Saccharomyces cerevisiae S288C: one gene and its partners. The gene in region 1 interacts genetically with each later gene. Each region holds a gene or a part of one and is shown in the gene's direction. Other genes may lie near its edges. The genes, in order: DAN4, RIM1, APA1 and YJL070C.

The links.
Region 2: mutations in DAN4 (region 1) and RIM1 together harm fitness more than expected from each alone (negative genetic interaction), as found in Saccharomyces cerevisiae (2 studies listed by BioGRID).
Region 3: mutations in DAN4 (region 1) and APA1 together harm fitness more than expected from each alone (negative genetic interaction), as found in Saccharomyces cerevisiae (2 studies listed by BioGRID).
Region 4: mutations in DAN4 (region 1) and YJL070C together harm fitness more than expected from each alone (negative genetic interaction), as found in Saccharomyces cerevisiae (2 studies listed by BioGRID).

The regions. Positions count from the first base shown.
Region 1 is NC_001142.9:710,222-719,647, reverse strand, and holds DAN4 (Dan4p), read left to right. Parts: upstream 1-3,907; coding exon 3,908-7,393; downstream 7,394-9,426. UniProt on the Saccharomyces cerevisiae protein: Component of the cell wall.
Region 2 is NC_001135.5:170,623-177,209, reverse strand, and holds RIM1 (Rim1p), read left to right. Parts: upstream 1-3,769; coding exon 3,770-4,011; intron 4,012-4,094; coding exon 4,095-4,260; downstream 4,261-6,587. Other genes in the region: SYP1 (Syp1p), read left to right, coding at 772-3,384; FEN2 (Fen2p), read left to right, coding at 4,786-6,324. UniProt on the Saccharomyces cerevisiae protein: This protein binds preferentially and cooperatively to single-stranded DNA (ssDNS). Involved in mitochondrial DNA replication. Stimulates PIF1 helicase activity.
Region 3 is NC_001135.5:35,315-42,605, reverse strand, and holds APA1 (bifunctional AP-4-A phosphorylase/ADP sulfurylase), read left to right. Parts: upstream 1-3,804; coding exon 3,805-4,770; downstream 4,771-7,291. Other genes in the region: SPS22 (Sps22p), read right to left, coding at 1-441; YCL048W-A (uncharacterized protein), read right to left, coding at 879-1,118; YCL049C (uncharacterized protein), read left to right, coding at 1,882-2,820; LRE1 (Lre1p), read right to left, coding at 4,990-6,741; PBN1 (Pbn1p), read left to right, coding at 7,213-7,291. UniProt on the Saccharomyces cerevisiae protein: Ap4A phosphorylase catalyzes the phosphorolytic degradation of bis(5'-adenosyl) tetraphosphate (Ap4A) into ADP and ATP. Can also use other Np4N' nucleotides (where N and N' stand for A,C,G or U) as substrates with equal efficiency.
Region 4 is NC_001142.9:303,740-312,352, reverse strand, and holds YJL070C (metallo-dependent hydrolase superfamily protein), read left to right. Parts: upstream 1-1,715; coding exon 1,716-4,382; downstream 4,383-8,613. Other genes in the region: UTP18 (Utp18p), read left to right, coding at 1-1,431; ARG2 (acetyl-CoA:L-glutamate N-acetyltransferase), read right to left, coding at 4,497-6,221; DNA replication protein PSF2, read left to right, coding at 6,491-7,132; JEM1 (Jem1p), read right to left, coding at 7,235-8,613.

The DNA.
Region 1 (9,426 bases):
CACTATTTGATTATCCTTGTTTTGTTGTTTTCTTCAATGTTGTTATGTTAAACCTTTCCCTCATGATCTCCTAATTTGATGTTTCCTTGGTCCATTTATATACATATATTACTTCATCCAATCTGTATATTCGGAAAACCAGATAATGATAAGTATTAGCCGTATCTTCGGAGTTACACTACCACTTAATTGTGTGAGTGATTGGTGATAACGTTCTCTGACATCTTGGCCAAATCTTTTGCCCCGATAATCCACATGATCATAAGGTCGATTGTTATTCGTTTGCTGAATTCCGCACTTCACTCAGACTAACGCGAGGGACTCTTATCGAAAAGGAACAAAGCGTGCGGCAGGAGCGCGCTGTAGCACCTTATCAGCAAATGATAGCTCCTCGAGCATTTGTCAAGTGACTGATGAGAACGCTTCTCTGATATGCATAGATGTTGCGGAAACAATCAGATACTGGGAAAGGACACTCCAGAGTCAGTCATAGGCTGTAAACCTGATTAAGGTGCAATAAGAAAGAAAAATCCGCCGGGATCCACCATGGATATTGTGCTGATGTAAAAGTATTCCTAGATTGTCTTGTTATCAATGTCAAATTCGGTGTTCATTCTGGGTAGTTATTTTGCTGAAGTCAAATTAAGTATTCTGTTTTACTCGGGATGCATTACATCTGCTTTGCGTCATAAAATAAGCATTCAAGCACCACTTTTTGATGTTTTAATGTATTTGCTCATCTCGGCTATATGGTAGAAAGCTTGAAAGTTAAACAGATGTTCATTTTTTCATCCTTACGAATGACCTCTCGTTTATCTAATCTGCTATTACGGTGTACAATAGAAACACACATGTCAAGATATAAACTAACATCCTTATCATAAGAAGAAACTCTGAGCCATCACAATTAGCGGGTAGATTTCTTTTTCCATTAATGTGAGCCAGCACTCTTTATCTTTCGTTATCCTCACTGAAGATATGGTCATCTGTAACGCCCGGATGAAAGAAAGAGAATCGCACTTTCTGTTTGCAATAACATCTTGAAAGTAGTGTTGATGTGAAAGATTGCAAGTATTTCATACCTCAAGTCTTTCTTGCTCCACTTTTTCATGCCAAAATGGGATTTCGTAGATGTTTGTTTATCCACGTCGAATCGTGGCTGTTATTTACTACGTATAGCCTTCCTAGCTTGTAAATAGTTTGAAAATTCCTGACAGAACACTCTTTCTTGCTTTTGCCTATTCTTATGAGCAGCTCTCAGGTACGGACCAGAACGCATAACGATACTTGGTGCTATATTCTCTGAAATATATGATATCTCACACTTAGGGTGCTACACATTTGTCTGAAAACCAACGACGATAAAAGCTATTTAACGTCCATACCAATTTAGCACTATGGGGAAGTGGATGTCTTTTTTTAATCATTTTCATAAATTTTAGGATTTTTTTTTATGAAGTAAACGAATCAAAATTTTTTGTTGATATTCTTTTATTTTTGCGCGAATACAATTACATAAAACTCATCAATTGTTCTCTATTACCTACCCTATTTTTCCCTATCACACGGCCAACGCCGTATACTAACCGTAGTGTGCCATAAAAAGGAATGAACGGGTAAGAACAGGTCATCCCAAACTCGGCGTATTTAATCAGTTCTTCGTGTAATAACACTTTAGGTGAGGGTGATGCTGACAGCGGATGTCAACGGCGAGGCTTGAAAGGATGACAATAAGTTTCTGACTTCGCTAAAGATGTAAATATAGCTTGAGTTATTGACAATAATGGATTAGACAAGAAGATTACATACGTCTCTGATGTTTTACGCAGCGCTGTCATACTCACACGCTTCGGCTCTACTCCTTCAAGTAAAAATCTTTTGTGTATACGTATCTTAAGCTTGGAGTAGAAGCTGTCTCTGGCCTTTTGTACTCGTTTACACGATTACAACTGATCAACAGATCTGGTTTTTTTTTTCAGCTGTTACAGATGGATTTGTAAGCCGAAAGGTATTTTCGTCATCCCCTTATATAAGATGGGAAACGAAGGTAAAAGATTAACGATAGCATCGCATATATAGGATTCCTAATTACTTTTTCGAAGTGCAAGTGGAGTATCGAACATGTCTCTGTCTGTTTACTTCGACTTTTATAGTGGCGAGATAATAAGACTATTTTATTAGCAAGGGATAACTACACATTTATTGAGGCTCCTCTTTATCCTTAAAACGGAACAAGGTTAGCATGTCTTTCAATCTTAAGTTTAAGAGGCCGCCGGACATCTTCATATCAACCCTTTTCCTGCCAGGAGGCAGGCACAATCATTTGTTGTGCATGTAGGGCTAGATTTTTGAAAATTTGGCATTTCGAGCATATGGGCCCCAGAATAAGCTTCAGGCTAGTTTTTTTTTTTTAGCTTCTATTATGTATGCCCGTCAAGATCATTAGTATCGCATGATTTGGTTGATTAACCACAGAATGTTGAGAAATTCTCACAATGGAAGACATATCGGCCTACGGTAAGATTACACTGAGGACCTTATGTAGTCTGATTGCTTCTGTTTACGCAGAGCCCCGCATATTTTGATAGTTTGATATGAAACCTTTACAAATCATTGAGAGTGCGCCGTACTCGTCGAATCGCGGGGAATGTCTTCTATTAACGTGTCCTCTACGGGCCGTCATTCCAAACGGGCAGCTGTAGGCGACTAATGAACCACCTCTGAATGCAAAGGATGTAAACTGTTGGCACAATAATGGGGCTGACGTAGCGTGAAGAAAATATAACTGATATGTTAAAGGAAATACAAAAGATTTCATGACCGCTAACACAACAATACTAAGTTATGAGGGTAGAGATTTTTCGTTACTGTTGCTATAAGAACCCGAATCAAGACCGTTTATCATATATGAACTATTATGATTGGCAAGGCTTTTTCTTAATTCAAGTCACACGTCGAGGTCTCCCTTGGAATTCGTATAAATCACACTAAAAGTTCTGTGGATTCTATTAAATGAAAGCAACGGTTCCGCTTTGGATGCATAGAACCTTCGTGAGTAATTATTTTCCAATTGGAGGAATGGATGTTATCATCAAACGATAACATTCATAGCCAAGAAGTATTTGGGTTTTCTTTTTGTCACATGTAGACTTTGATACTTCTCTGTGCAAGCTATGACAGGTTACAAAGCGCATTGAGTGGCGGGCTGCAAAAAAATGAGGAGATATTTCAATTAACAAGATCTAGTTTCCTAATACGGACCTTTTTCGGAGCGCTAGGATCAAAATTGGATAGCACAAACAGCTTCTCTCTCTCTACGAGCTAAGATCCTCTGAATGGTGCTTGCACATTCTCGTTTGCAGCATATTTACTCCTTTTCGAGTGTGCTAAACCCCAAGTGACCCAGTGTCTACTGACTGGGAAAAAGTGATCTTTCTGTTTGGTAGCGCGTATAGCACGTAGAGTAAAGTTATGTGAATGTCTATTGAACGACGACATCAAATTAACTTTTTTTGCAGTTCTGTCACTTAATCACAGATAATAAGAGCAGAACAATTTAGGCACGGGGAAATTCGATCGATCTGCCCATCCGTAGGCGTTTTCTCCGGAGAAGTTTTTACATGCTGCGCATTTCTTTGGCGGTGAAAAAGACAGTACATCGCGTGCCTTTAAAGATGTCAAAAATTATACGAGATCTGTTTAAGATCTCCATCGTTCAGGAACTGTAAAACAAGAAGCATTGGCAAAGATAGTGATTTTGCTCCAATATATTCGTTTATACAACAGCTGTTTGGTTCGAAAGCCTATAAATGGCCTGTGTAAATGGCTGTATTGAGAGTATGCTCAAACTGAAATAAGTACCAGTTCCTGTCGAATCTGCGATATCCGAAAAACTCCGAAGAAAGCAATGGTTAATATAAGCATCGTAGCAGGAATTGTAGCCTTAGCTACTAGTGCGGCTGCTATTACAGCGACCACTACTTTATCTCCTTACGATGAAAGAGTCAACCTTATTGAATTGGCTGTTTATGTTTCTGACATCAGAGCCCACATATTTCAGTACTACTCTTTCCGGAATCACCATAAGACTGAAACATATCCTTCGGAAATCGCAGCAGCCGTTTTTGACTACGGTGATTTCACTACTCGATTGACCGGTATTTCGGGTGATGAAGTAACTAGAATGATCACTGGTGTTCCGTGGTACTCTACCAGATTAAAGCCGGCTATCTCTTCAGCGCTTTCAAAGGATGGTATTTACACGGCTATCCCAACCTCTACTTCTACAACGACTACAAAATCTAGTACTTCGACTACTCCTACCACCACTATCACTTCTACTACTTCTACCACATCGACTACTCCTACAACCTCTACTACTTCTACCACTCCTACAACTTCTACCACATCGACTACTCCTACAACCTCTACTACTTCTACCACTCCTACAACTTCTACCACATCGACTACTCCTACAACCTCTACTACTTCTACCACTCCTACAACTTCTACCACATCGACTACTCCTACAACCTCTACTACTTCTACCACTCCTACAACTTCTACAACTTCTACCACTCCTACAACTTCTACCACTCCTACAACTTCTACAACCTCCACCACTTCTCAAACTTCCACCAAATCGACTACTCCTACTACTTCAAGCACATCGACTACTCCTACAACTTCTACCACTCCTACAACTTCTACAACCTCTACCGCTCCTACAACTTCTACAACTTCTACAACCTCTACCACTTCTACCATTTCTACCGCTCCCACGACCTCTACAACTTCAAGCACTTTCAGTACTTCTAGTGCCTCTGCATCCTCTGTCATTTCTACCACTGCTACAACCTCTACCACTTTTGCCAGTCTTACTACACCTGCCACATCTACGGCTTCTACTGACCATACAACCTCTAGTGTCTCAACAACTAACGCATTCACTACTTCTGCAACTACTACTACTACGAGCGATACATATATCAGTTCAAGTAGTCCCAGCCAAGTCACTTCATCCGCTGAGCCTACTACTGTCAGTGAAGTCACCTCTTCTGTTGAACCTACCAGGTCTAGTCAAGTCACTTCATCCGCTGAACCTACTACTGTCAGTGAATTCACCTCTTCTGTTGAACCTACCAGGTCTAGTCAAGTCACTTCATCCGCTGAACCTACTACTGTCAGTGAATTCACCTCTTCTGTTGAACCTACCAGGTCTAGTCAAGTCACTTCATCCGCTGAACCTACTACTGTCAGTGAATTCACCTCTTCTGTTGAACCTACCAGGTCTAGTCAAGTCACTTCATCCGCTGAACCTACTACTGTCAGTGAATTCACCTCTTCTGTTGAACCTACCAGGTCTAGTCAAGTCACTTCATCCGCTGAACCTACTACTGTCAGTGAATTCACCTCTTCTGTTGAACCTATCAGGTCTAGTCAAGTCACTTCATCCGCTGAACCTACTACTGTAAGTGAAGTCACCTCTTCTGTTGAACCTATCAGGTCTAGTCAAGTGACCACGACAGAACCTGTTTCTTCCTTCGGGTCTACTTTCAGTGAAATCACCTCTTCTGCTGAACCTCTCTCTTTCAGTAAAGCAACCACTTCCGCAGAATCTATCTCCTCTAATCAAATCACCATTTCCAGTGAACTAATAGTTTCTAGTGTAATTACTTCCTCTTCTGAGATTCCTTCTTCCATTGAAGTACTTACTTCAAGCGGGATCAGTTCATCAGTTGAACCCACTTCTTTGGTTGGACCTTCTTCTGATGAATCCATTTCTTCTACTGAAAGTCTATCTGCCACATCCACTTTCACTTCAGCCGTTGTTTCCTCGAGCAAGGCTGCTGATTTCTTTACCAGATCCACTGTTTCTGCTAAATCTGATGTCTCTGGTAACTCCTCTACCCAATCTACTACCTTTTTTGCTACGCCTTCCACTCCACTTGCTGTTTCTTCAACTGTGGTCACTAGCTCTACCGATTCAGTTTCTCCTAATATTCCCTTCAGTGAAATCAGTTCCTCTCCAGAGTCGTCTACTGCAATTACGTCTACATCCACTAGCTTCATTGCTGAGCGGACTTCTTCCTTATATCTTTCGTCATCAAATATGTCAAGTTTCACTTTAAGTACTTTCACTGTTTCCCAATCGATCGTCTCTTCATTTTCTATGGAACCTACATCGTCAGTCGCATCTTTTGCATCAAGTTCCCCTCTCTTAGTATCCTCAAGAAGTAATTGCAGTGATGCCAGAAGTTCCAACACCATCAGTAGCGGTCTGTTCAGCACGATAGAAAATGTTCGTAATGCAACCTCAACATTTACAAACCTATCAACAGATGAAATTGTCATCACGAGCTGTAAGAGTAGTTGTACTAATGAAGATAGTGTTTTGACGAAAACTCAAGTTTCTACCGTTGAAACTACTATAACTAGTTGTTCGGGTGGTATTTGTACCACGCTGATGTCTCCGGTTACTACTATTAATGCTAAGGCGAACACATTAACAACTACAGAAACTTCCACGGTCGAAACAACTATAACAACATGCCCTGGTGGTGTTTGCTCGACCCTGACTGTTCCAGTTACTACAATCACCAGCGAAGCCACTACCACCGCTACCATTAGTTGCGAAGATAATGAAGAAGATATCACTTCTACTGAAACCGAGTTGCTAACTTTGGAAACTACTATAACTAGTTGTTCGGGTGGTATTTGTACCACGCTGATGTCTCCGGTTACTACTATTAATGCTAAGGCGAACACATTAACAACTACAGAAACTTCCACGGTCGAAACAACTATAACAACATGCTCTGGTGGTGTTTGCTCGACCCTGACTGTTCCAGTTACTACAATCACCAGCGAAGCAACTACCACCGCTACCATTAGTTGCGAAGATAATGAAGAAGATGTCGCCTCTACTAAAACCGAGTTGCTAACTATGGAAACTACTATTACTAGTTGTTCGGGTGGTATTTGCACCACGCTGATGTCTCCGGTTAGTAGTTTCAACTCCAAAGCCACTACATCGAACAATGCAGAGTCGACCATCCCCAAAGCGATTAAAGTCAGTTGCTCTGCGGGTGCCTGTACCACCCTGACTACTGTCGATGCAGGGATTAGCATGTTTACCAGAACCGGATTGTCTATCACTCAAACTACTGTGACCAACTGCTCAGGTGGAACCTGTACCATGTTAACTGCACCAATCGCGACCGCTACCAGCAAAGTCATCTCACCAATTCCAAAAGCCTCCTCGGCTACTTCCATTGCTCATTCATCTGCTTCTTATACTGTCAGTATCAATACCAACGGTGCCTATAATTTCGATAAAGATAACATTTTTGGTACCGCTATCGTTGCTGTTGTCGCTTTATTACTGCTATAGTGATACAATATAATCTTCACAAGCATATAAACAATTGTAAAATAATTTAAATTGACTTGAAAGAAATTTTAAATCTATACTTGATTCATGTAGCACATAATACTACGGTTTGTGAACATACTCCTATACACTTTGAATGGTTTGTATGATATACAGGTATCTAAACATTAGTGTTACCAGTTCGTATATTAACACTAGTTAAATTTGAATCCTCTAAGGTATCGCCAACAAGTAAAATTTTACATTTAATTGAGAAGTTTTTTAATTTTTCTAAGAAAACATTAAAAATATCACAATATGGGCTTCAGCCTAAAATTATGGTTTTTTTTTTCCCTCATCCTTCATTTTATTACCTCCGTTTATTGACGTGTTCGACAACTCACATATGAAGCTTTAAATACTTTGTTCACTGTTAGTTTAAATAAAATTTAGCCTTTAGGTTAAAAATCGTGTCAAAAAAGGAATTCTTCCAAGAACATGAACTAAAGCTCTTCTTAAAATAAAGTTATGTAAGATAGAACTACGCGGCACAAAGATGGAATTGAGAAATAACGCTCCATAAAGTTGACGCTGCTAAATTCTAGGTCACAAGGCATTAGAAATGAGGGCCTTTGAAAAAATTTATTCAAGTAAACTGCTTTCTGAAGAGTTCGCTCTCATCGACATTGGTAGAAGAATAGTGTAGTGTAGTAGCAACCGTTAGTAGTTTATTAATGTCTAAAATTCAGTATAACTAAGAATAGAAGCAAGTATTCTTATACGGTATAGCAGAAACGTATAACTGATGCGGCGATGACGAATGTATTCAAAATGATGGTATTTCAGTGATTTGCTATATTTCCAATGTAATAACTCGCATCCCTACGTATATTAAATTTGAATTAACATTGAATTAATAGATCTTTAACGTAACTTCTTCCGCTAGTTTCGCAGTAGTATCTTGTTTCCTAGCCTGGAGCTATGAAGTATACTGTTTGGTCACTTTATTCAGTTACTATGGTTACTAAAATTATAAACCACCCGTTCCGACAACGACAATGAAGATCTATTTTGCAAATTTGGAACAGAAATAACCATAACCATGAGGTTCGTTATCGTTGACTACATATTACAATCCGAAATGAACATTCGGCCTAGAATGCATTGTACCTTTACAATACTTTGTAAAACATCTTTCAATGTGTATTTTCCTAGCTTAGGTAACACAACTAGGTAACTTATTGGGATGGTTGAGTCTTAAGTGCAGGCCATTTATTATCAATACTGAATCTTGTATGTTTTTGTCAACTCTTGACAGAAAGCTTCAGTCAGCGAAGCAAACTTTCGACCTTCTGTATCATATTTTTCTGCTCTATTTATAGCGAAAGAGAGAAGCCTACAAGAGGATAAGTACTAATCTTGTGATTATTGATTTTCTCCAAAGATTGGGAAAATTACTTAGTTGCACAGCGGAAATGTTTCGATCTCTGACTTTGTAATCGTCAAAATATTCTAGCAGAGCGCAACTTATTTAATTCATACTGTGCGTTCTCCTTGTGGTTTCTAAGACAATCTTTGAGCATGTTTATGGATGCACTTAGGGGTCCTACAAGCCTTCGTATGAAGTTGCCCCTCGCAAGCACACTATAAATTCATGAACAATTGCGCAGTCAAAGTTAGATTGTAAGCCGAATTCAAACGATTTCAACAGTCGTAGCTAACGAGGCCTTTTGTCTCACACCCTTACAAAGGGACTGTAGAATGCAAGGGCAAACAGGCCTGAGGTAACTTTAAAATATAATGTACCTTGAAAACTATGTATACATTGCATTTATTAAGCAGTAGGGTATTTTGTTTGCAAGAAAATAAAGCTCAAAATATCTTTGGAGTTTGACAATAGTATAGAAAAAATAGCTCAGCAACCTTAATAAAAAAAGGGTCATTGGGCAAAGCGTTTTAAAAAGATTTAAGTGGTAGTGTTTAAAGTGAAAGAGATTGATATAGTTAAAAATTGTTGAGCTCAATTCACGCTGGATTCGGCGATCCGTTTTCTT
Region 2 (6,587 bases), on another chromosome or scaffold:
ATTGTGTTTAAAAAAATCATCATTTTAGAATTTTGTTGACAAGAACATCTGGTGAAGCAGGCTACCCCTTTTTAAAATACGTGGAAAAAAAAATGACGTTCTCGTCATTGTCATCTTCCATGTCTACGCCTTTTCGTGTCCATTTCATTCTATTGATTAACTTATTAGACATCGGAGGGAAGTTTTTCCACCTATGTTATATATGTAAATTTTTTTTTGAAGGAGGCGCGCATAAAATAATCTCACACTATTTTGAACATTGCTTAGGGTTGAGTGGGGAGTAAAGAATAAAGCGAATCCTATTCGTGTAAGCCGGTCTACTTATTGATAACAATATTTTACAGGCGGCTATCATGTTTCAGCTTACGCATTCACAGTCAGGTTGGTGCTCTACATGAATACCAGCGTTTACTTTCATTTACAGAGTACTAGCACCTCCACTGTCGCTAATACTGAATTTAGTTTTGAAGAGTGAAAACAACTAAATCAGGCGGTAGAAGAAAATCAATAGCTCATATATTCTTATATATTACAGGTGATATTTGTATATGATTATGAATGGCTTTTCGTAGCCCGTGATCTTTCATTTCTATATTATGTGTAGCTAAAAGGGCCCCTTAAGTACTTGCAGATTGAAAAACTCTATATTGCATTCAAGTTTTCACGAAATACAAAGAAAAGGTCTCGTAGTTATTGCCTTAATAAAGGAATTACTTTTGCTGTAGTCGTATTGAAGCAAGCTTATTTGAAAATTGCGAATAATCACCTCTCATGACGGAACAAAGAACCAAATATGCAGATAGCATATTGACTACTAAGAGTCCTTACGAGGCTACCGAAACTATTAGAATCAGGTTATCGCAGGTCAAATTGTTGAATAAAGACTTTTACCTGTTATTTAAGGAATTGGCAAATCTGAAGAGGAACTATGCTCAGCAATTGAGAAAAATAATAGCTGAAAATGAAGATATAACAAAGATCTTAAACGCTCAAATGATTGAAAGTAATGTTTTGACTCCGCAGGAAATGAGTGCATTCAGATTCAACTCGCTGGGAGAGCTAAGAAATGTATGGGATACTGTAATTGAAGAACTAAAATCAGATTTGAAGTCAAGTACAGAATACTACAACACTTTGGACCAGCAAGTCGTTCGTGAATTGAAGGAATCCGTGGAGAACAATACTAGCTGGAGAGAAAGCAAGGACTTACATTCCAAGCTTAGTAAAAATGCAGCTTCAATTGAGCACTATAGTAAGAATAACGAAAACTCTAGTCACTTAGAAGAGGCAAGAAGGCAATGGGACCAGCAAAGCCCCTATTTGTTTGAGCTGTTCGAGACTATTGACTATAACCGTTTGGACACTTTAAAAAACTGTATGCTTAGATTTCAAACCAGTTTTAGCGATTATTTACTAAATACTACCAAAGAATGCGAAACGGTGATGACGAAATTCCTGGCATTCGAACCGCAAAGTGAAATTGATCGTTTTGCCAAAGATGCCAGTCAATACAACTTCCAACTATCCTCTTCTTCCAAAGAAGTAGTTCCTAATAATGCTTCGCCAGCTTCTGCCACTGGTGCCCGCCCGGTCTCTGTATCCAATGGTGCCGCTAATACGGAAAGAGAAAAGAAATCCCCACAAAAGGATAAGCGTAAGAGTGCATTTGGAAACATTGGACATCGTCTTGCCTCTGCATCTTCCAGTCTCACTCATAATGATCTCATGAATAACGAATTTTCAGACTCTACTAATAATTCTTCCTTGAAATCAAAAAAGTCGTCCCACACCCTAAGATCTAAAGTGGGCTCAATTTTCGGTAGAAATAAGACCAAGAACAAGAGACAACAACAATCATCATCAAACTCTCATATTCAGGCATCCATCACTGAGACTCCGAATAATTCTTCCACCAGAGTGTCTTCAACTGCAACTTCTTCTATTTATCAGAAGCAACGTCGACCCACCTATTCATCATCAAAATCAAACAATTGGACCCCGGGTGAAGCTAGTGACACTCCTCCTCTTCCTCCCCATGCTACTCCTAAAAACGTAGATGCACCTGTTACTGCCGATACACCACCTGCGCAAACTTTTACTCCTTCTGAAGTGCCTCCTTCAACGCCACAACAAAGTTCTCCACCCACTGCGAAAGAACCAGACTCAAGTAACTTACCCAAGACAGTACCGATATCAATTTCTCAACCTCCACTTCAGCCACAATCAAAAACAAAACCATTACCAGTTGAGCCTGCCTCTCCCAGTATTTCACTTCCTACTGCTACGGTTGATAACCAACCTTCAGGTCAAGTTGATTCAAGGCCCTTGCATATCCGCGCACCTGCTTTACCACCCTCAAGGAAACAAAATTTCATTCATAACAGGGATTCTCAACTCTATGACTCTTTGCCTAATCACGGCTCAGGCGCTACCCCTACTTCTTCTTCCTTGTCCTCTATTCCCCAGGAACGTCCAGTTTCCACACTCTCCTCTCAGATTACTGGCGAGCTAAGAGAACTAAATCCTCAAGCCACGGGCTCTTCAACATCTTTAGTTGGTCAATCGTTGTTTCAGCACTCCTCTTTAGATACATCTCAATTTGGGTTGAATGCTAGTATCGCAGAAGTGCTCAATGCTTCTTTCAAAGACGGTATGTTGCAGAACTCCCAACTGATTGGGGAAATTGCCCTCAACTATTTACCCAATTCTGTCATGAATTCGCCTTTACCTATCGGTATTAATTTGAGAATCAATAATGGCGCTAAGTTCGAAAAGGTCATTCTGAACCAAGCCTTTATTGAGCGTGTTGCTCCAGAAGAATTCAAAGTTAACCCTTCATTTATCGATTCTAGAACCTTAGGAGCTATTAAATATTCCATAAAGGAGCCGATCGCGCCTATTGTTATTCATCCGGTCTGGAGATTTGAATCTCACCAGGCAAGTGTTGTATTGACTGTCAAGATGTCACCAAGCTTACCCGATGAAATATCACAAATCGTAATAGAAGACCTCGTTGTCTTTGTGAATATCGATGGTGCTAATGCAACAAGCGCTTTATCAAAACCTCAGGGCTCCTTCAGTAAAGAAAAGAAGAGAATAACGTGGAGATTTAAAGAACCAGTTGTTTTGACAAGAAATGGTGAAGGTCAAAGATTAATCGCCAGATTTATTACAGACGGCCTGGCACATGAATCCGCTAAAGGCGTGATTACCAAATTCACTATCAGTGAGACGGATAACGTGGCTCTACCCCATAGCGGAGCCGGCAGTGGAATCACCTTGACTTGTCAGGAGCTGGATGAAAACAATCCATTTGGTGGTGAGTGGCTCGATGTAAACACAAAAAGAACTTTGACCACTGGTAACTACCATGGTCTCGCTTGATATTTCTGCTATGCTTCTATTTTTCAATATTAATTGTTCTTTTGTTTGCTAATCCATAATTTATGGAGGTGGCGCCGCTAAATCATATTTTCCTTTTGAAACCTTTGTTTAAGACTTACGTAGAACTACACTTATGTACTATAATGTTCTGTAAAGATTCTGTATTTTCGTTCTTTTCTATTCCATTTTTCGGACTTTTAGGACTTTTCATCTAATACTTATTATTTGTGGAGGAGTGCTTAAAAGGCGTTTGCGCCCAGACGAAAAAAAAAAAGCTAACACAGTAGTTGAGAAAGACAAATACCACGAATTTGATAACAAGTCATTTGCTAATTGTGTGTCCTTGACAAATACAAAACAAACAAAAATCCACTAATCCATTGTAATGTTTTTACGTACTCAAGCTCGTTTCTTCCATGCTACTACCAAGAAGATGGACTTCTCGAAAATGTCCATCGTCGGCCGCATTGGCTCTGAATTCACTGAACATACTTCTGCTAATAACAATCGTTATTTGAAATATAGTATCGCTTCGCAACCAAGAAGAGATGGCCAAACCAATTGGTATAATATCACCGTTTTCAATGAACCTCAAATCAATTTTTTGACAGAATATGTTAGAAAAGGGTATGTTATTTATTCTTCAATTTTACTTACTTTACAATTACGCGTTATAATTTACTAACATTTCCTTTCCATAATTTATTCAGCGCTTTGGTATATGTTGAAGCAGATGCTGCTAACTATGTCTTCGAGAGAGACGACGGTTCTAAGGGTACTACTTTGAGCTTAGTTCAAAAGGACATTAATTTATTGAAGAATGGGAAGAAATTAGAAGATGCTGAGGGCCAAGAAAATGCTGCTTCTTCAGAATAATTGTAATATTTACGCTTGCTTATTTCGACTCTTCCTCGATATTTTTTATCTAGAGCATGCTTTCTTTTACTTAAAATATTTATGGCAAATAGGAAAAATACATTTGGAATAACGAACTAGTTATGTAAAACTATGCTTATTCTCAAATAGAATGTATATATACTATAATATATTGGTTAACGTGTGTTATGCAAAATGCTTTTTGATGATGAAATTTAGCAAAAGAGGAGGAAGCTTTAGCGAATTTAACATATCCTTCATTGTTACAAAATTGCCTACACCTCCATTGATCCATGCAGTCCGATTATTGTAGATTTTGAGTAGTCGATCTTGAAAGGCATTTTTGACGAATTACAAGAACTCAGCATCGATCAAATCTTCTACATGCGTATATTGTAAAGGAAGACATCGGCTCTTAAGAGAAATGAGGCGGACCTGTAATTCTGATATAAAAGTATTCCGATTTATTCAAGATTGAGAAGCTGTTTTCAGAATTTTTGATTGGAGAGAGCCTGGGCCTAAGTCATGATGAAGGAATCGAAATCTATCACTCAACATGAGGTTGAGAGAGAATCTGTTTCTTCCAAGCGTGCCATTAAAAAGAGATTACTTCTGTTTAAAATAGACTTGTTTGTGCTATCATTTGTTTGCTTGCAATACTGGATTAATTATGTCGACCGTGTCGGTTTCACCAATGCATATATATCCGGTATGAAGGAAGATCTTAAGATGGTCGGAAACGATTTGACCGTGTCTAACACAGTTTTCATGATTGGTTACATTGTAGGTATGGTCCCCAATAATTTAATGTTATTGTGTGTTCCGCCCAGGATATGGCTAAGTTTTTGTACGTTTGCTTGGGGTTTATTGACCTTGGGAATGTACAAAGTTACATCGTTCAAACATATTTGCGCAATTAGATTCTTTCAAGCCTTATTTGAGAGTTGCACATTTTCAGGAACACATTTTGTTTTGGGTTCGTGGTATAAAGAAGACGAATTGCCCATTAGAAGTGCTATTTTTACAGGTAGCGGTTTGGTGGGATCTATGTTCAGTGGATTTATGCAAACAAGTATCTTTACTCATTTGAATGGGCGGAATGGCTTGGCGGGTTGGAGATGGTTATTCATTATTGATTTTTGTATCACATTACCCATTGCAATTTATGGGTTTATTTTCTTCCCCGGCCTTCCTGATCAAACAAGTGCTGTTAGCAAATTTTCTATGACGAGATACATTTTTAATGAACAAGAGCTACATTATGCTAGGAGAAGGCTCCCCGCTAGGGACGAAAGCACCCGGTTAGACTGGTCGACTATTCCTAGAGTCTTAAAAAGGTGGCACTGGTGGATGTTCTCTCTTGTTTGGGTTCTGGGAGGTGAGAACTTGGGTTTCGCATCTAATTCTACATTTGCATTATGGTTACAAAACCAAAAATATACGTTGGCGCAAAGAAATAATTATCCTTCGGGGATATTTGCCGTAGGTATAGTTTCTACGCTTTGTTCTGCTGTATATATGAGTAAGATCCCAAGAGCTAGGCATTGGCATGTTTCTGTTTTCATATCATTGGTAATGGTTATTGTTGCGGTACTAATACGTGCAGACCCACTAAATCCAAAAGTCGTCTTTTCTGCACAGTATCTTGGAGGCGTAGCATACGCTGGACAAGCGGTTTTTTTTTCGTGGGCAAACATTATTTGTCATGCAGATCTTCAAGAACGTGCTATCGTTCTTGCTTCCATGAATATGTTTTCAGGGGCCGTTAACGCATGGTGGTCTATATTATTCTTTGCTTCAGATATGGTGCCCAAGTTTGAGAGAGGTTGCTACGCCCTCTTGGCTACGGCAATATCAAGCGGAATTGTCTCGGTCGTCATACGCTCACTACAGATAAAAGAGAATTTGTCTAAGAAACAGGTTCCTTATATAGATGCTAATGACATGCCCGGAGAAGATGACGATGACGACAACCAGGATAATGAAAATGATGGCGACGACGAGAGTATGGAAGTTGAACTTCATAATGAGGAAATGGCCGAAATTTCAAATCCTTTCCGATAGATACATTCGATTCTTTTAGCTATTCATTGGTCCTGTTGATGGTAATGGAAAATCTCAGGGCTCTTTTCAAAAGTATCATGAACAATAGCCGCTAAGACACTTCTAAAGAGGTCTACTTAGTTTTTCATCATGCATTTTTCGATTTCTGTTTAACTAATCTTTCTTTTCTTCCTTGCCAAGTGCAGGACAATTTCTAAGTCTATGTTTTTAAAAGCTTCTTGCTAACTTATTCGAAAAGGTTTAGTAAGTATTTTGTTCTCTGC
Region 3 (7,291 bases), on another chromosome or scaffold:
TAATTGGAAGAGCCCTTCGATTTTATTCAAGTTCCCGGCTTGGATTCTGATCAGTTCAGGTGAATCCTGAATAATCAGGTCACCACCAATGGCCCTCAAGCTGTTCAAATCCAAAATGTTAGAATCATAGTTTGTGACTTTTAATGACCCCAAGATGAATTCACATTGGTTTTGTAAATGAAAAAGATCATGAGACGATTCAATGACGTGCAAATCTTTTTTACACAACTCTGATATCGGTGAGTTTGTGTTCAGACTCTTGACATCTATTTCAAAAAACGGTTCATTTGCTCTTCTTTGAAGTTCGAGATTACCGTTATGAAAAGGCTTCACATTATGTGGTCGCCTTGGCGGATCAATAGCGGCACCCAATGCATGTGTCACAAATAATGATGCAAATATAATCGCGAATAAACAACTTTTCCTAGTAATACGGTTCATAAGTCGATCAAGTAATGAAAAAATGGCTTTTGGTTTTCCTTGTTGTATTTCAGATGAGATATCTTACCAACAGAACAAGTTTCTCTATTGTATGTCACAAAAGGATATAGCTTCTCCAAAATCTTTCTTTTTTATATTTTTTTTTTTTTTTTTTTTTTTGAATTAGTGACGCATCTTCTGTACAGTAAAGAGAGAAAAAAAGGGTATAATAAAACAGTTAAGCTATACTATAGTAGCGCATACACACAACGTATATACATCTAGTATTAAATATTAGTAATTATTAAATAACGAAAAAATAAATTATGGTTGAAATAGAATCAAACGTAAAGAACAAAGAAAAAGCTTAATGGAACGAAAGTTAAAAAGCTCCCCAATTTTGAACAACGGTTATGGAATTAGAAAGAAAGAAAAAAATAAAGGAAATAAAAATGTTCCTAGAATAAGAAGGCAACACCGGCAGCGATTGCTGCTCCAAAGGCACCCGCCGCCATGGTATTAACTACGGCTTCGCCAATCGAAACTGTCGTAGTCACCGAAGCGGTAGGAAGAGTAGTATTTGGCTGCGTAGCATTTGGCTGCGTAGCATTTGGAGTAGTGGCGTTAGGTTCAATGCCAACTTGGGCGTTGATAGCAGTGACTGTAGCTAGAACAGCGACAATGTTTTTGATTTGCATTATTTAACGGAAGTATAAGGTTTGAAAAGGGAGCTTTAATTGTTTTAGCCGTTATCGATTTAGCGGTGAGAATGAAATAAAGAAAAGAGGAAGAAAAGACATTACATACAAATTTTTTTCAACTTAAATGGAGGTTATGTACTTTCTTATATAGATGCTAATCTTTTTTTTTCATCTCATCACAGATTTACGTCGTCAATCTACTAACTTCCCTTATCTTCCCTAAAGGGTATCTTACGTTTCCCCTTAGGGAAAATGAGTTTTGTCCCACCTTCCCTTTGGGAAAAGGCAATGTAAATCTTAGAGGCAAGAACCACACTTGTTGATAAGATCAGCTGCGTAACAGTGCGCTAGGCAAAGGGATGGAATAAGATAAATCCCTTGTTATCCCTTTGCTTTTAGTCTTATGTTGGGGAAGTCCACAAGTTATTGTTACATAAAGGAGGAGAAGAAAACTAGGGGAATATTTATAACACTCGCATTAGCTGATCGTAGGAAAGCAACACAAAACATATGCATCAGCTGGCCCTGTTTGTCTTGCTCATCGATTGATTTTGCAAGCAAAGCTGGGATACCCGAATGTGTATGGTTTTCCTTTTTTTGGTATTTTTCTCCTATAAACGAGCTTTTTTTCGTCTTGCATTCAGATTTAAATAGCTGCTTCTAAATATATACTTTACGCAAGAGGGTCCGGTCCCAATAGGAACCAAGCTATTGCAATTCCAGGGTTCAAGAGAGAAAAATCTGTAATCACTTCGAACCAATGTTTAGTAAATACCTCGTAACTGCATCTTCCCTCTTTGTGGCTTTGACCTCTGCAGCATCTACCGTTGATCTAGATGCTCTGCTTCTTCTACCAGGGGTCGAGTCCCACGACGGCGTTGATACTGTATTTTCGACCAAAGACTTTTATCAAGTGTCATTCGTCAAATCCATTGCTCCTGCTATCGTAAACAGCTCCGTAATCTTCCACGATGTTTCTCGTGGTGTGGCTATGGGCAATGTCAAGAGCAGAGCAAGTATCTTCAACCCAGAGGAAACGTATTACGATTGGGAACAGTACCAAGTAGTAAATAACGGAGACTGGCGAACCGAATGGGCACCTGCCTCTGACTGCATTTGGAGGGAGGAGAAGGATAACAGCGACGAAACACCGGACAGATTCCCCATCTCGGTGCCATATAATTGGACGTCACAGTACTCAATTGTAGATTATGACACAGACGCTAACGAAGACAATTTAGATTTCAGGTTTATTAAATCATTGCTAGATAAGAAAAATTGGTTGAAAAAAATTAACCAGACTGTTTCCCAATCCAGTATTATGGTAGCACCAATGATTAGGCCATACAATGTGGTCCAGCTTTGGTATTCAAAAGATATGGTTTGGGCAAACGTCCAAAGACAATATTGTAGCGGTGTTTATCCAGGAGGGACTCAATGTAGCGCTTGGTCCAGGTACTACCATGTTGATGCACCCACCTGCGATGAGCCTGTCGCCTCTTACATGACCAAAATGTTGGAAAATGAGGTTCAGTGTCCCAATGAGAGAAACGCAACTACCCTAGAGCCTCTCCGCCTGAATAAGCAGGGAGACTCTGATTTTTCTTTGACTTTCGAGGAAGAGGAAGAGGAAGAGACAGGATCTAAATCTCTTTGGAGTACATTGAAAAAAATTTTCTCTAAAAGAAGTATAAGTTGATCTTAGTTGGTAGCACTTTGATGAGGTCTCTAGCAAAAAGTCTACAAACAAATTCTTGAAAGTGTTTGATTGTATATCGATATATCAGAAACATACATATGATTTTTATCTTGTGAATATTCATCAAACTCCGTTTTTAGCCCCCGTGTAAGTTACTTTAATGAGTATTTGATCCTTTTTTTTATTGTGTTGGTTTTTATATGTTTTGTTATGTATTGTTTATTTTCCCTTTAATTTTAGGATATGAAAACAAGAATTTATCAAAGAAAAAAATCTTAGCTTTAAGAACTACAAAGTAAATAAAAAATAATAAATCACACCGGACAGTACATGAAACTGGACATATTTGAGGAATTTCTTTTGAAGAGTTGAGCATTCAAACTGGCCGGTCTTGCTGTGGCCTCAATCCACTTGAGCTCCAAAGAAGGCTCTGAAATGCTTATTTTTTTCAAGCGATACAAAGTAAACAGTTACATACCTGAATGATACTACCACAACTATTTACATTATCGTCCTGTCAAAAGGCGAATAATCAGAACTGTTTGTTAACATGTCATTTTATAAGAGCGGCCTGAAATACTGTCATAAGTGGTCTGTCGAAAGTAGTTATTACGGCGTCGGGCGTCGCGAATAGCTCAAAAGTCACCCCAGCTTACACGATATTCCCATAACCTACAGCAAGAAGCTATTCTTGGATACAAGCACCAGTTACAAGCACTGCATTCATATATTGCCTTTTACTTTCCTATTCTGTATTTGTGTGCTAAGTGTCCTGTTTCGGAACGTTCTAGAAGATTTTCTTATTTTTCTCTTTTTCAGTTTTTTTTTCATCACGCAAAGGAAATACAATACAAGGTTAAAATGAAGGAACTAACATTACTATTATTTCCAATTTAAAGTTTACCTTAAAAGACAATAGATTGATCTTGAAAGCCAGTTTAGATAGATTTTAGAACAAACAGAAAAGTAAAAATTAAAATAAAAATGAGTATCCCCGCTGACATTGCATCTTTAATTAGTGACAAGTACAAAAGTGCCTTCGATAATGGTAACTTAAAATTTATCCAGACTGAAACAACGAAAACAAAGGACCCAAAAACCAGCATGCCATACTTGATTAGTCACATGCCAAGTCTGATCGAAAAGCCAGAGCGTGGCCAAACTCCAGAAGGAGAGGATCCACTAGGCAAACCTGAGGAAGAATTAACGGTTATCCCAGAATTTGGTGGTGCCGATAACAAAGCGTATAAATTGCTATTAAACAAATTCCCTGTAATCCCTGAACACACTTTATTGGTAACTAACGAATACCAACATCAAACTGATGCCTTGACCCCAACCGATTTATTGACTGCTTATAAGTTGCTGTGTGCCTTGGACAATGAAGAATCCGACAAGAGACACATGGTCTTTTACAATTCTGGTCCAGCCAGTGGTTCTTCATTGGACCACAAACATTTGCAAATTCTGCAAATGCCTGAAAAGTTCGTCACTTTCCAAGATAGACTATGTAATGGTAAAGAACATTTCCTACCAACTTTCAATACTGAACCTTTGCAAGATGCTAAAGTCTCGTTCGCTCATTTTGTCTTGCCAATGCCGGAGTCTGAAGAAACTGTTGATGAAGACCTATTAGCTATGTGTTACATCTCCATATTGCAAAGAGCTTTGACCTTTTTCCAGGACTGGTTGAACGAAAATCCAGAACTAAAGAAATCCTACAATCTTATGTTAACCAAGGAATGGATCTGTGTCGTTCCACGCTCGAAGGCCTTTTCTGATGAAATGAAGATAGGTTTCAACTCCACAGGTTATTGTGGTATGATCTTAACCAAAAATGATGAAGTTTTCTCCAAGATTACTGAAAAACCTGAATTGATTAACGATATCTTATTGGAATGTGGTTTCCCAAACACTTCTGGTCAAAAACCAAACGAATACAACTATTGAGTCCTTCACAAGTACAAGTATACACGTATACATGTATGTATATATATGTATTTAAATGATAGAAGTAATTTCTATATGTATATGTCTATTCAATTTTTATTTCTGATGACTTTGAAATTTTATATTTATTATTCTACACTTTATTATTAAAACTACATGCAATCAATGCCGTTAAGGTTACGATTCACCTTTTTATTACTTATTATTAATATTGTTGTATTACTTCCTTGAAAAAATATGTCTAAAGAGTCCTAATTTGGATTTTCTTTTCCTCCTAACTTCACTGTCCTGCGCCTGCTTTCCTAACGCATCATCGCTAATACACCAGCTTTCATTGCTTGTTGCTGCGCTGTTGCTCGCATGGAACGTTTTCAGTGCGTCATCATCCTGGGATAAACTAAAGACTAAGTCACCAGTTTCATTTGAGGCTTTTCTCTGCGCGTTGACAAAAGAGGACAGATCAACCATATCACCTGGTTCACCCATGAGAATGTCCTTACTTAGTTGCGAATTGGTTCTGATCTGCCCTTCAGACTTGGAATATTCATTACTGTCATTACTTTTAAGCCTATTCATTTCTTCCTTGCCATCAGGCGTACAGGATTTGACCACAGAGTGTTGAAGGGGTGCATCGTCCGCTCTCGTAATAACCCCTCCGATACTATTTTCATTGTTGACACCGTTGACTGAAAAGGGCATGGACTGTGCATTAATGTTTTCATTTTTCATCATATCATCATATGGCATTTCATAATGTTGACTCTTGTAGTTGAAGATTGAGTTTATCGTGTTACTGTTTCGTCTACCTTTCATATTATCAATCAGGTTGCGGTGTTGCATGTGGGAGATAGGACTGCCCGATCTTCTTCTTCTCGATTCTCCACTAAAATCCTGTCTTTTATCGCTATCCAGCACACGATTAAGCTGTGAATTGCCGCACTTTTTAGGATAACCATCCTTGGCATATCTAGGGTTATCTTTTAGTGGAAAATTATCACTTTCTAAGTTAATGTCCGCATTGCTGTCATAAAAGGATACTGGTGTTGCGGGAGTAGATGCTAGTTTAGAAGGGGTATAGGCCAGGGAAGAAGGTGTCATTGCCTGATTGATTGTCATTGAAGCAGCCGACCTTTGTTCTTTTGGAGATTGCGAGTCACAGCCTACGGTCAAAGGTAGCTGCTTCGTATAATGATAATATCTTTGCTTTTGGCCTTTGATCTTCAACGAATTGAATGTGTTGGAATTCCGTGCATTGGCGTTTTGCATCCCATGGTTGTGATGGGTCGGTGACCCATTGAGAGCTGAATCATCTACATCAATGGCCTGTTCAGATACACAAAGGGAAGGCCGCAGTGGGGATAATAGTGCTGTTGGAAGCTTTTGCTCATAATATTCATTTTTCGATTCTGGTTCAATTAAGGAGTCCTCTTCTTCTTTAATCATAGAGTTAGAACCGGCTGCACAATTGCCCTTATCTACCATAACCTCCAAATCAGGAGGAGCGGATTCAGATCTTCTATGTGATTTAAATGACCTAGGCCTTGTCTTCAACGCATCGTCAAGGTTAATAATGGCATCTGGGACGCCTTTAACTGGCGATGAAAAACTTGGCTCTTCACTAATGAAAAATCGTGGACTTGGTGTTTGCAGATTGTTCTTTGGTGATAACGGATAAAATCTTGGTTCAGGCAAATCTAACGTTCCAGCGTCTTCATTGGTTTTGCAAGGAAATCTATTGTAGCGTATTGGCGATAATGTACTTGATACAGCAGTTGGGGCAGTTGAAGGACAATTTTCAGCCGCCTGTGGAGGTGGTAAATTCACAATTGCTGCAGGCTGTTTCAAAAAATCAAAATCTCCTGATATTGCTAGCGATCTGCGATGGCGGTGACCTCTTTTGGATGGTGTAGACAAAGTATTTACAGGATTTGGCTCTGATATTTGCACATGTTGAGTATGCGTATTGGGCATTTTCCTATTCTGAGAAGGAGTATGAAATAATTGCCGAGGGTTCAGAATGCTCTTTTAGAAATAAAAATGAATGTAAATAGTTGGAATGTATCTTTAAGTAGACAAATGCAGGTAAGTTTTAGTGGCCTTTGCGGATTAACAGTATGCTCTTAGTGCAAAACACGAAAAGAGCTCCCAATCTTTGAACACAATCGACCACGGAGGAACAATACACGTAGAAGGGGATAACTAAAACTTTGTCGTGCAAGAGTATTGGAGGACACACTAACAGCAGAACTTTGCCTTCTTAACTCTTGTTTATGATTGCTTGAAGTATTACACATGTAATAAAAGATGATTATTTTTTTTTTCCTAAAAAAAGTTCCTTTCTTTGAAGATCCCCCTGATAAAAAAGATCAAATAATGGAAACGCTAATCATAATCAAATCGGGAGGAGAATAAACGCAAGAAGTGTGCGTTTCTAGCTGAGTAATGGTGACAAGACATAGAGTGACTGTACTCTACAATGCCCCTGAGGATATCGGTAATCATATGCGCCAAAATGACACTC
Region 4 (8,613 bases), 400 kb from region 1:
GACTCTGAAGAAGCTGCTTGGATAGATTCGGATGATGAAAAAATTAAAGTGCCTATTCTTGTTACCAATAAGACAAAGAAATTAAGAACCTCCTATAACGAGTCCAAAATCAACGGTGTTCATTACATCAACAGATTGAGATCTCAGTTTGAAAAGATATATCCAAGGCCCAAATGGGTGGACGATGAATCTGATTCTGAATTAGATGACGAAGAAGACGATGAAGAAGAAGGCTCTAATAATGTTATTAATGGAGATATTAATGCTCTAACGAAGATCCTGTCTACTACTTACAATTATAAAGACACTTTATCGAATTCCAAACTATTACCCCCTAAGAAACTTGACATTGTGCGTCTTAAAGATGCAAATGCATCACACCCGTCTCATTCCGCCATACAATCTCTTTCATTCCATCCTTCTAAGCCTCTACTGTTAACGGGTGGGTATGATAAGACCTTAAGAATATATCATATTGACGGGAAAACGAACCATCTAGTGACAAGTTTGCACCTGGTTGGGTCTCCAATACAAACATGTACTTTCTATACTTCTCTATCAAACCAAAATCAACAAAATATATTCACCGCCGGTAGAAGAAGATATATGCATTCCTGGGACTTATCCTTAGAAAATTTAACTCATTCACAGACTGCCAAAATCGAAAAATTTTCCAGATTGTATGGACATGAGTCCACTCAAAGATCATTTGAGAATTTCAAAGTTGCACATTTGCAGAATTCACAAACAAATTCTGTCCATGGAATTGTCCTTTTACAGGGTAATAATGGTTGGATTAACATTTTACATTCCACTTCCGGACTATGGTTAATGGGCTGCAAGATAGAAGGTGTGATAACGGATTTCTGTATCGATTATCAACCTATTTCACGTGGTAAGTTTAGGACCATTTTAATTGCTGTAAACGCGTATGGTGAAGTGTGGGAATTTGACTTGAATAAGAATGGCCATGTTATAAGAAGATGGAAAGACCAAGGTGGCGTGGGTATAACAAAAATCCAAGTTGGTGGTGGGACAACAACTACTTGTCCGGCTCTTCAAATAAGTAAGATAAAGCAAAATAGGTGGCTTGCGGTAGGTAGTGAGAGTGGATTTGTTAATCTTTACGATAGAAATAATGCTATGACCTCGTCGACCCCTACACCTGTCGCCGCCTTGGACCAGCTAACAACTACCATTTCTAATCTACAATTTTCCCCTGATGGTCAAATACTGTGCATGGCATCCCGTGCAGTCAAGGATGCTTTGAGACTAGTTCATCTGCCTTCTTGTAGCGTGTTCAGCAACTGGCCTACCAGCGGGACGCCTTTGGGTAAAGTTACCAGTGTCGCATTTTCGCCATCTGGTGGGCTACTGGCCGTGGGTAACGAACAAGGTAAAGTGAGGCTCTGGAAATTAAACCACTACTAAATTTCCATTTATAGACAAACTTAGATATTAAAAGCAATGTACAAATACATACACAAAATATCACTGTAAAAAAATTGCGAAGAAACTTGAAATTGAATATGATTCTGCCCACTTTTTTCTTGCTGTCATTTATAGTCAGAAATGAAAAATTGTCCGAGAAATTAAATATAATATATGGAAAAAAAGGGGACATTGAGTTTAAAGAATTTGATTAAAATGTCCTCTCAATATCCTCTGTAAGAGTTATCTAAATCTCACTTTACTTATTCATCTCGCTGGGAATTATGCAGGCGGTAGAGAGAAGGCCCTCGTTACTCTTTGACGAATATCAAAATTCTGTTACTAAGCCTAATGAGACGAAGAATAAAGAAGCCAGGGTCTTGTCAGAGAATGACGGTGATGTCTCCCCATCTGTTTTGAAACAGAAGGAAATATCAGTCGATGATATGGATATGATTTCTTTGCCCACGGAATTTGACAGGCAAATGGTTTTAGGTTCACCTATGTTTTTCGATCTTGAAGACGAAGAAAACAAAATTGATCCACTTCCTTCAGTTTCCCATCATTATGGAAATGGAGAAAGTGACAGCTTTGTCTCATCGTACACGCCCTCAAATCTGAAAACGGGTGAAGAAACTAAAGATCTTTTCATTAATCCGTTTGAATTGGTTTCTCAAATGAGAAAAAGATACATTGCTGCTTCCAAACAAGATGGCATTTCAAACATAAAAAATGACACTGAAAAGTGGTTTTTATACCCAAAACCACTGCCAAAGTTTTGGAGATTTGAAGACGATAAACGATTCCAAGATCCCTCTGACTCTGACTTAAATGACGATGGAGACAGTACTGGGACCGGAGCCGCTACACCGCACCGCCATGGCTACTATTACCCAAGTTACTTTACCGATCACTACTACTACTACACAAAATCTGGTTTGAAAGGAAAAGGAAATATAAAAGTACCATACACCGGTGAATATTTCGATTTAGAGGATTACAAAAAACAATACATTTACCATTTAAGTAATCAGGAAAATACGCAAAACCCACTTTCACCTTATTCTAGTAAGGAGGAGTCACTAGAGGAAGAATTTTTAACAGATGTGCCTACGTTTCAAGAATTTAGGGATGATTTTGCATACATAATAGAGTTAATCCAATCTCATAAATTCAACGAGGTTTCACGAAAGCGATTATCTTATTTATTAGATAAATTTGAATTGTTTCAGTACCTAAACTCTAAGAAAGAAATTTTAGCTAATAAAAATGTTCCCTACAGAGATTTTTATAATTCTCGTAAGGTAGATCGAGACTTGTCTTTAAGTGGTTGTATTTCTCAACGTCAATTGAGTGAATATATATGGGAGAAAATAAATTTAGAACCTGAAAGGATAGTTTATCAAGACCCGGAAACGTCAAGGAAACTCAGTTTGAGAGACATTTTTCAGTTTGGTTGTTCTTCTAATGACCAACCCATTGCGATTGGGTTGAAATTGATTGATGATGAATTCTTGGATTGGTATAGAAATATTTACCTAATAGATTACCATCTAACTCCTAACAAAGTAGCAAAGTTGGTCGGCAAAGAAATGAGGTTTTACCTATTAGCCAAAGTGTTTCTGGAGTTTGATAATTTCATTGAAGGTGAGTACCTAGCAGAAATTTTCATAAAATACGTTATTCATATCCTCGAAAAATCAAAGTACCAATTGGCCCAAGTATCAGTTAATTTTCAATTCTATTCCAGTGGTGAAGACTGGTACAAGAAATTTTCTCAATGGTTGCTACGATGGAAGCTAGTATCGTATAATATCCGCTGGAATATACAAATTGCCAGGATTTTTCCCAAACTATTCAAGGAAAATGTCGTGTCAAATTTCCAGGAGTTTTTGGATCTTATCTTCAATCCTTTATTCACTCTGGAAAAGGAGCAGTTACCAATAGATTCATCTGTAAATACTGATATCATTGGTCTGCAGTTTTTTTTATCAAATGTGTGTTCTATGGATCTGGTCATTAAAGAGTCGGATGAATATTACTGGAAAGAATTTACTGATATGAATTGTAAGCCAAAATTTTGGACAGCACAGGGTGACAATCCAACTGTTGCGCATTACATGTATTATATTTATAAAAGTTTAGCGAAAGTTAATTTTCTGCGGTCACAAAATCTTCAAAATACAATCACCCTAAGAAATTATTGTTCTCCACTATCCAGCAGAACTTCCCAATTTGGAGTGGATTTATATTTTACAGATCAAGTTGAATCGTTAGTGTGCAACTTACTGCTTTGTAATGGTGGTCTGCTACAGGTAGAACCGCTTTGGGATACTGCAACAATGATTCAATATTTATTTTATCTCTTTCAAATACCCATTTTAGCTGCGCCATTATCATCTGTTTCATTACTGAATTCGCAAAAATCGACCTTTTTGAAGAATAAAAACGTGCTTCTAGAACATGATTATTTGAAAGACCAGGAAACAGCCAAAATCAATCCTTCTAGAGATATCACTGTGGGCGAACAAAGATCATATGAGACAAATCCTTTCATGAAAATGTTTAAGATGGGACTAAAAATTTCTTTATCATCAAAATCGATTCTTTACAATAGTTCATACACGCTAGAACCTCTCATTGAAGAATACAGTGTAGCAGCAAGTATTTACTTGCTGAACCCAACAGATTTGTGCGAGTTGTCGAGAACAAGTGTGCTATCTAGTGGCTATGAAGGTTGGTACAAGGCTCATTGGATTGGCGTTGGAGTTAAAAAGGCGCCTTACTTTGAGGAGAACGTGGGTGGGATAGATAATTGGTACGATACAGCGAAAGATACCTCGATAAAGCACAACGTTCCGATGATTAGAAGAAGATATAGAAAGGAGACATTGGATCAAGAGTGGAACTTCGTTCGGGATCACTTTGGAGTAATTAACTCCATTTGGTAGGGTAAAGTGAAATATCAACAACTTTGCATAGTAAGATATATATATTTATATAGATACCTTAAAAACTGAAAATGAAAACTTGAAAGTTAAGGAGGAGGAGAATGCGTCTTTGTTTCATGAAATATTTTTTTCATTTTCCCAACTTGGCTTGATGTCCCTGACAGACCTCATGAATTCTCTTAAACGTTTCTTGTCACGTAGTGCCCTCTTAGCGTATTGAGGGTTACCGTAGTAAAATAGTTTAAATTGGCTTTGCTTTTCATCACAGTGTTCGGGGTCTAAGTCAATCGACAAATCTAGCACAGCAACGCTACGTTGAAAATACCACTTGTTCACCACATTGTCTTTTCTGCTTCTCCAAAGTATCTCATTAGGAAATTTTTTGAACATCAAATTGAAGATTATATCAGATATACCCAGCGAGCCTTTCAAGTGTGGTAGAACGGCGAACTTATCGAGATAAACAAAGGAATTTTCCTCCGAGCCTTCATAGGTAAGAATTGCAATGCCTTCATAATCACCTATCACAATAATTGTAGCTATTTTTCCATTAATCCTTTTTATGTAGTCATGCAAATCCAAAGATCTTTTAAAGCTCTGATCGATGATGGATTTAAATTTGTTGATATCTAGTTTTGGACTATTGCTCGAGGGTTTTGCTCCTTTCTCAGGTACGTGAAACTTCTTTGGAAGCCCAATTGAGTTGAATTGAGTCAGCGTCTTATAGTCATAAGTTTTGATATGGACGCCCTTTTTGAGAACAGTTGTCACTAAAACTGCATCTGAGTTAGAAGGAGCTGCATTTACCTGTTGGGAAGGCAATTCATACCATGCGTGATCATCAAACATGTTGGCTGGTGAGTCTATCTCGCCGTCCTTTTTTTTAAACCTTGGTAAAGAAGAAGAAATTAGCGATCGGTCTGTCAATAAATTATATACTAAAGGATTTTTCCTATCTGATGATAGTGCGGCAGCTTTGACAGTTGTAATCAGTCCCGTTGCTGTAGCCGCTAGATTTGATAAAACTTTGTCCATCAATAACAGGTTTTCTAAATGATCATGGTATTCACATTCTAAGGAAGATATCTCATCTTTTTTAACGTACACCTCCATTCTGTGTAACAGGTTTTGGGAGCGTGGCTCTCGTTTGGTTAGAGTGCTTATATTGTGAGATAATGACGAGGACAAATGCTCGAGTTCCTGAGAAAGATTGATGAATACATGAGCGTTATCATTTCTCTCTCCCGAAGGTATACCTCCGGCATTATTTAGAATGAAGAATTTGTCAATGTGTGGAATATTCCCTTGGCACAGGCAATCCATAAATTTTACAACATCCTTTGTCATGAATTCTGAAGCAGTCTCTTCATTATACACATAAGGTTTCACAATTGGTATAAAATTGGAATTTCCAATATCAAAGAAACGACTCTCTTGCGAAAAAACAGAATGATATAACCCAGTGCGGGATTTAGTAAGACCCTCCTTAAGGTGAAGTGGCTTTAAATCTGCTTCTGTAACGATACTGTCAAGTAACTCTGCCTGTATATTTACATGAGTTGGCGACGGCGGAATTACAAACATAGGTCGCAAACCTAGCATTCCTAGTCTCTTTATGACACTTGAAAACTGGGACAAAATCGCTGGTGCGACTTTATGCAGGTCCCTGATAAAAAACAAACAATGATTATGCTGCCCACTATCATTTGTATATTTTGAGAGATAATCCTTAGCCTCTCGTTTTGTAGCGGTTGTATTCAGAACTGAAAGGATCAAGTTTTTTGAAGATGCATTGGGTTGATCATACTTGAGTTCATGCGCGAATATTCTCCTCCACATGATAAAAGTAACCGACTAGTGTCCTAGATTGACGGTCCTAGCTTCAAATGTGTTAACTTTCACAATTTATGTCGAACGTGCTTATGACTCCATGGGAAGATCAGTGATGACTAACCTTTTTTTTCTCCAGCGTGAAATTTCTTGTGATATTTTCCATTTAATGAAAAATCAGTCGCCTAAAGTGTAACTATGAAATGGTTAACAAAAAAGAGTTTTATACTTAGAGAGGATCAACGGCTGATCTGAAATAAGACTAGTTTCATAGACGCATGTCACTACCGGCACATTTGCAGCAGACTTTCTCACCAGAAGAAATACAGTTCATTGTGGAAAACGAGCCAATAAAGATTTTTCCCAGAATAACAACACGCCAAAAAATTCGTGGCGATGATAGAGGAACTGGAAACCACACCCGCTGGCAACTTATTACTACAGATGACAAAGCTTTAAATAATATGGTAGCCATGCGTTCTACAGAAGTGGTTCTTTGGATCGCTCTATTACTGAAGCAACAATCCAAGTGCAGTATTGTAGCACCACAGTGGTTAACGACGAAAGAGCTTGATAGAAAAATACAATATGAGAAAACTCATCCGGATAGGTTTAGTGAGTTGCCGTGGAACTGGCTTGTCTTGGCACGTATACTTTTCAATAAAGCTAAGGATGATTTTCATGACCCCATTCACGAATTACGTGGTAAAATACAAGACTTAAGGGAAATAAGGCAGATCAAAGTGTTAAAAGGCCTTAAGTATTTGAATGAATCTCATTTACAATTGGATAATTTAAGTCTATTAGAAATCAATGAGTTGAGGCCGTTCATTACTGAAATCATGGATAAACTGCGAGAAATTCACACAGCATCTCTTACCGCTGGTACTGAAAATGATGAAGAAGAATTCAATATTTAAAAAAGTGCTGGCTTTGCAATAATTAGAACTTTCAGTGATATGCGTATGTATATATATGTACTTGTTGTGGTATCCTAGTTAATGGGCATAGAATGTATTTCATCAAAGCCCAAAATTCATTTTAAAGCCATTTCCGAATGGGAAGCCACTTCCTGGATTTTTGAACATGTTATTTTGCCTAGGCCCCTGAGGAAAAGTGTTGCGGCGGGGGTTTGATCTGGAAAGATCGTATTCCTTCCTTTTATCGTCATCACTTAATGTTTCGTACGCTTCATTGATTTGTGACATAGTTTCGTGAATTGATTCTTGTTTGTCGTTATGGTTGGCCTTTATTTTGTCTGGGTGGTATTTTTTGGTTAAATTTAAATATGCTTTCCTTATTTCTTTCGAACTAGCACTAGGCGATACTCCAAGAATTTTATAATAGTCCTTTTTTGGGTCGTAGTTAGGCGCTGCTGGGGGTGCTTGATGTCGTTGGTGTTGTTGCTGCTGTTGTTGTTGTTGGAAATATTGCTGGTTGAAATTCCGATGTTTATGCTCTTTATAGGTTTGTAATTGTTTCTGTAATAATCGGAAGTTCTTCATCACGTATGGATTGGTCGACTCTGAGAGGCCGTTATCTTGGAAAAATTTGTTTATCTGGTCATATAATTGCTTTTTGAACTGTGAATGAGGTTTAGACCTACTTTTATTAAGTATTGAGTTTACCATATACATCAGCAAATGAGGATTGGAATTCCATACATCACTCAATACCGTCTCAGGTAAAGGTTTTTGCTCGGACTTAGCATCCTGATAGTGTTTCCATGTTTCTAGTGTTAGTGAATGCCTCAAACTCTTTTTACAGAACGGCGCAGCCAGTTTAGCTCTCTTGACGTCCGGACTCATGCTAGAAGCCTGACAAAGAATGGAATCAATGTATACTAGATAATCGGTATGATAGTATGATTTTGGTTTGACAAAACCATCGGTTATTGGGGGATCTTCGAATAAATTTTTTGCCAAAGGTCTCGACAGTTGAACGTCTTCTATCAATTGTTTGATAATTTCCTCTAAAAAGAAGTAGTTGTTTTTAAAGTTTGTATCTTTGTTAAGAATTTTCATTGGTGTAATAAATGGCTTCTTATCCTTCAAATAAAATTCAATAATTCTATCCCAACTTCTAAACTTTTTGTTCTCAAATGCATATGTTGCTGGATCCAGGATCTGTCTTTTTGATGGATTCACCTTGTTCAATTTGGAAATAGTCAGGCTTAGTTTTTTACATTTATCATAGTCCATATCAATGGAAAGGCATTTTCTTATATTGAACGACGCATCTGAGTTAAGTACAAAGGTCTGTAAAACAGATATGACATAATGAATCGAAAGTCTTGTATCTATGCTTAAGCTAGCCAAATGCTTGTCGAGGATTGTTTCGTAATCCAAAATGATAGCAGCAGCTAACGAAACGTCAATTTCTTCAGCTAGTTTGTGAAAAA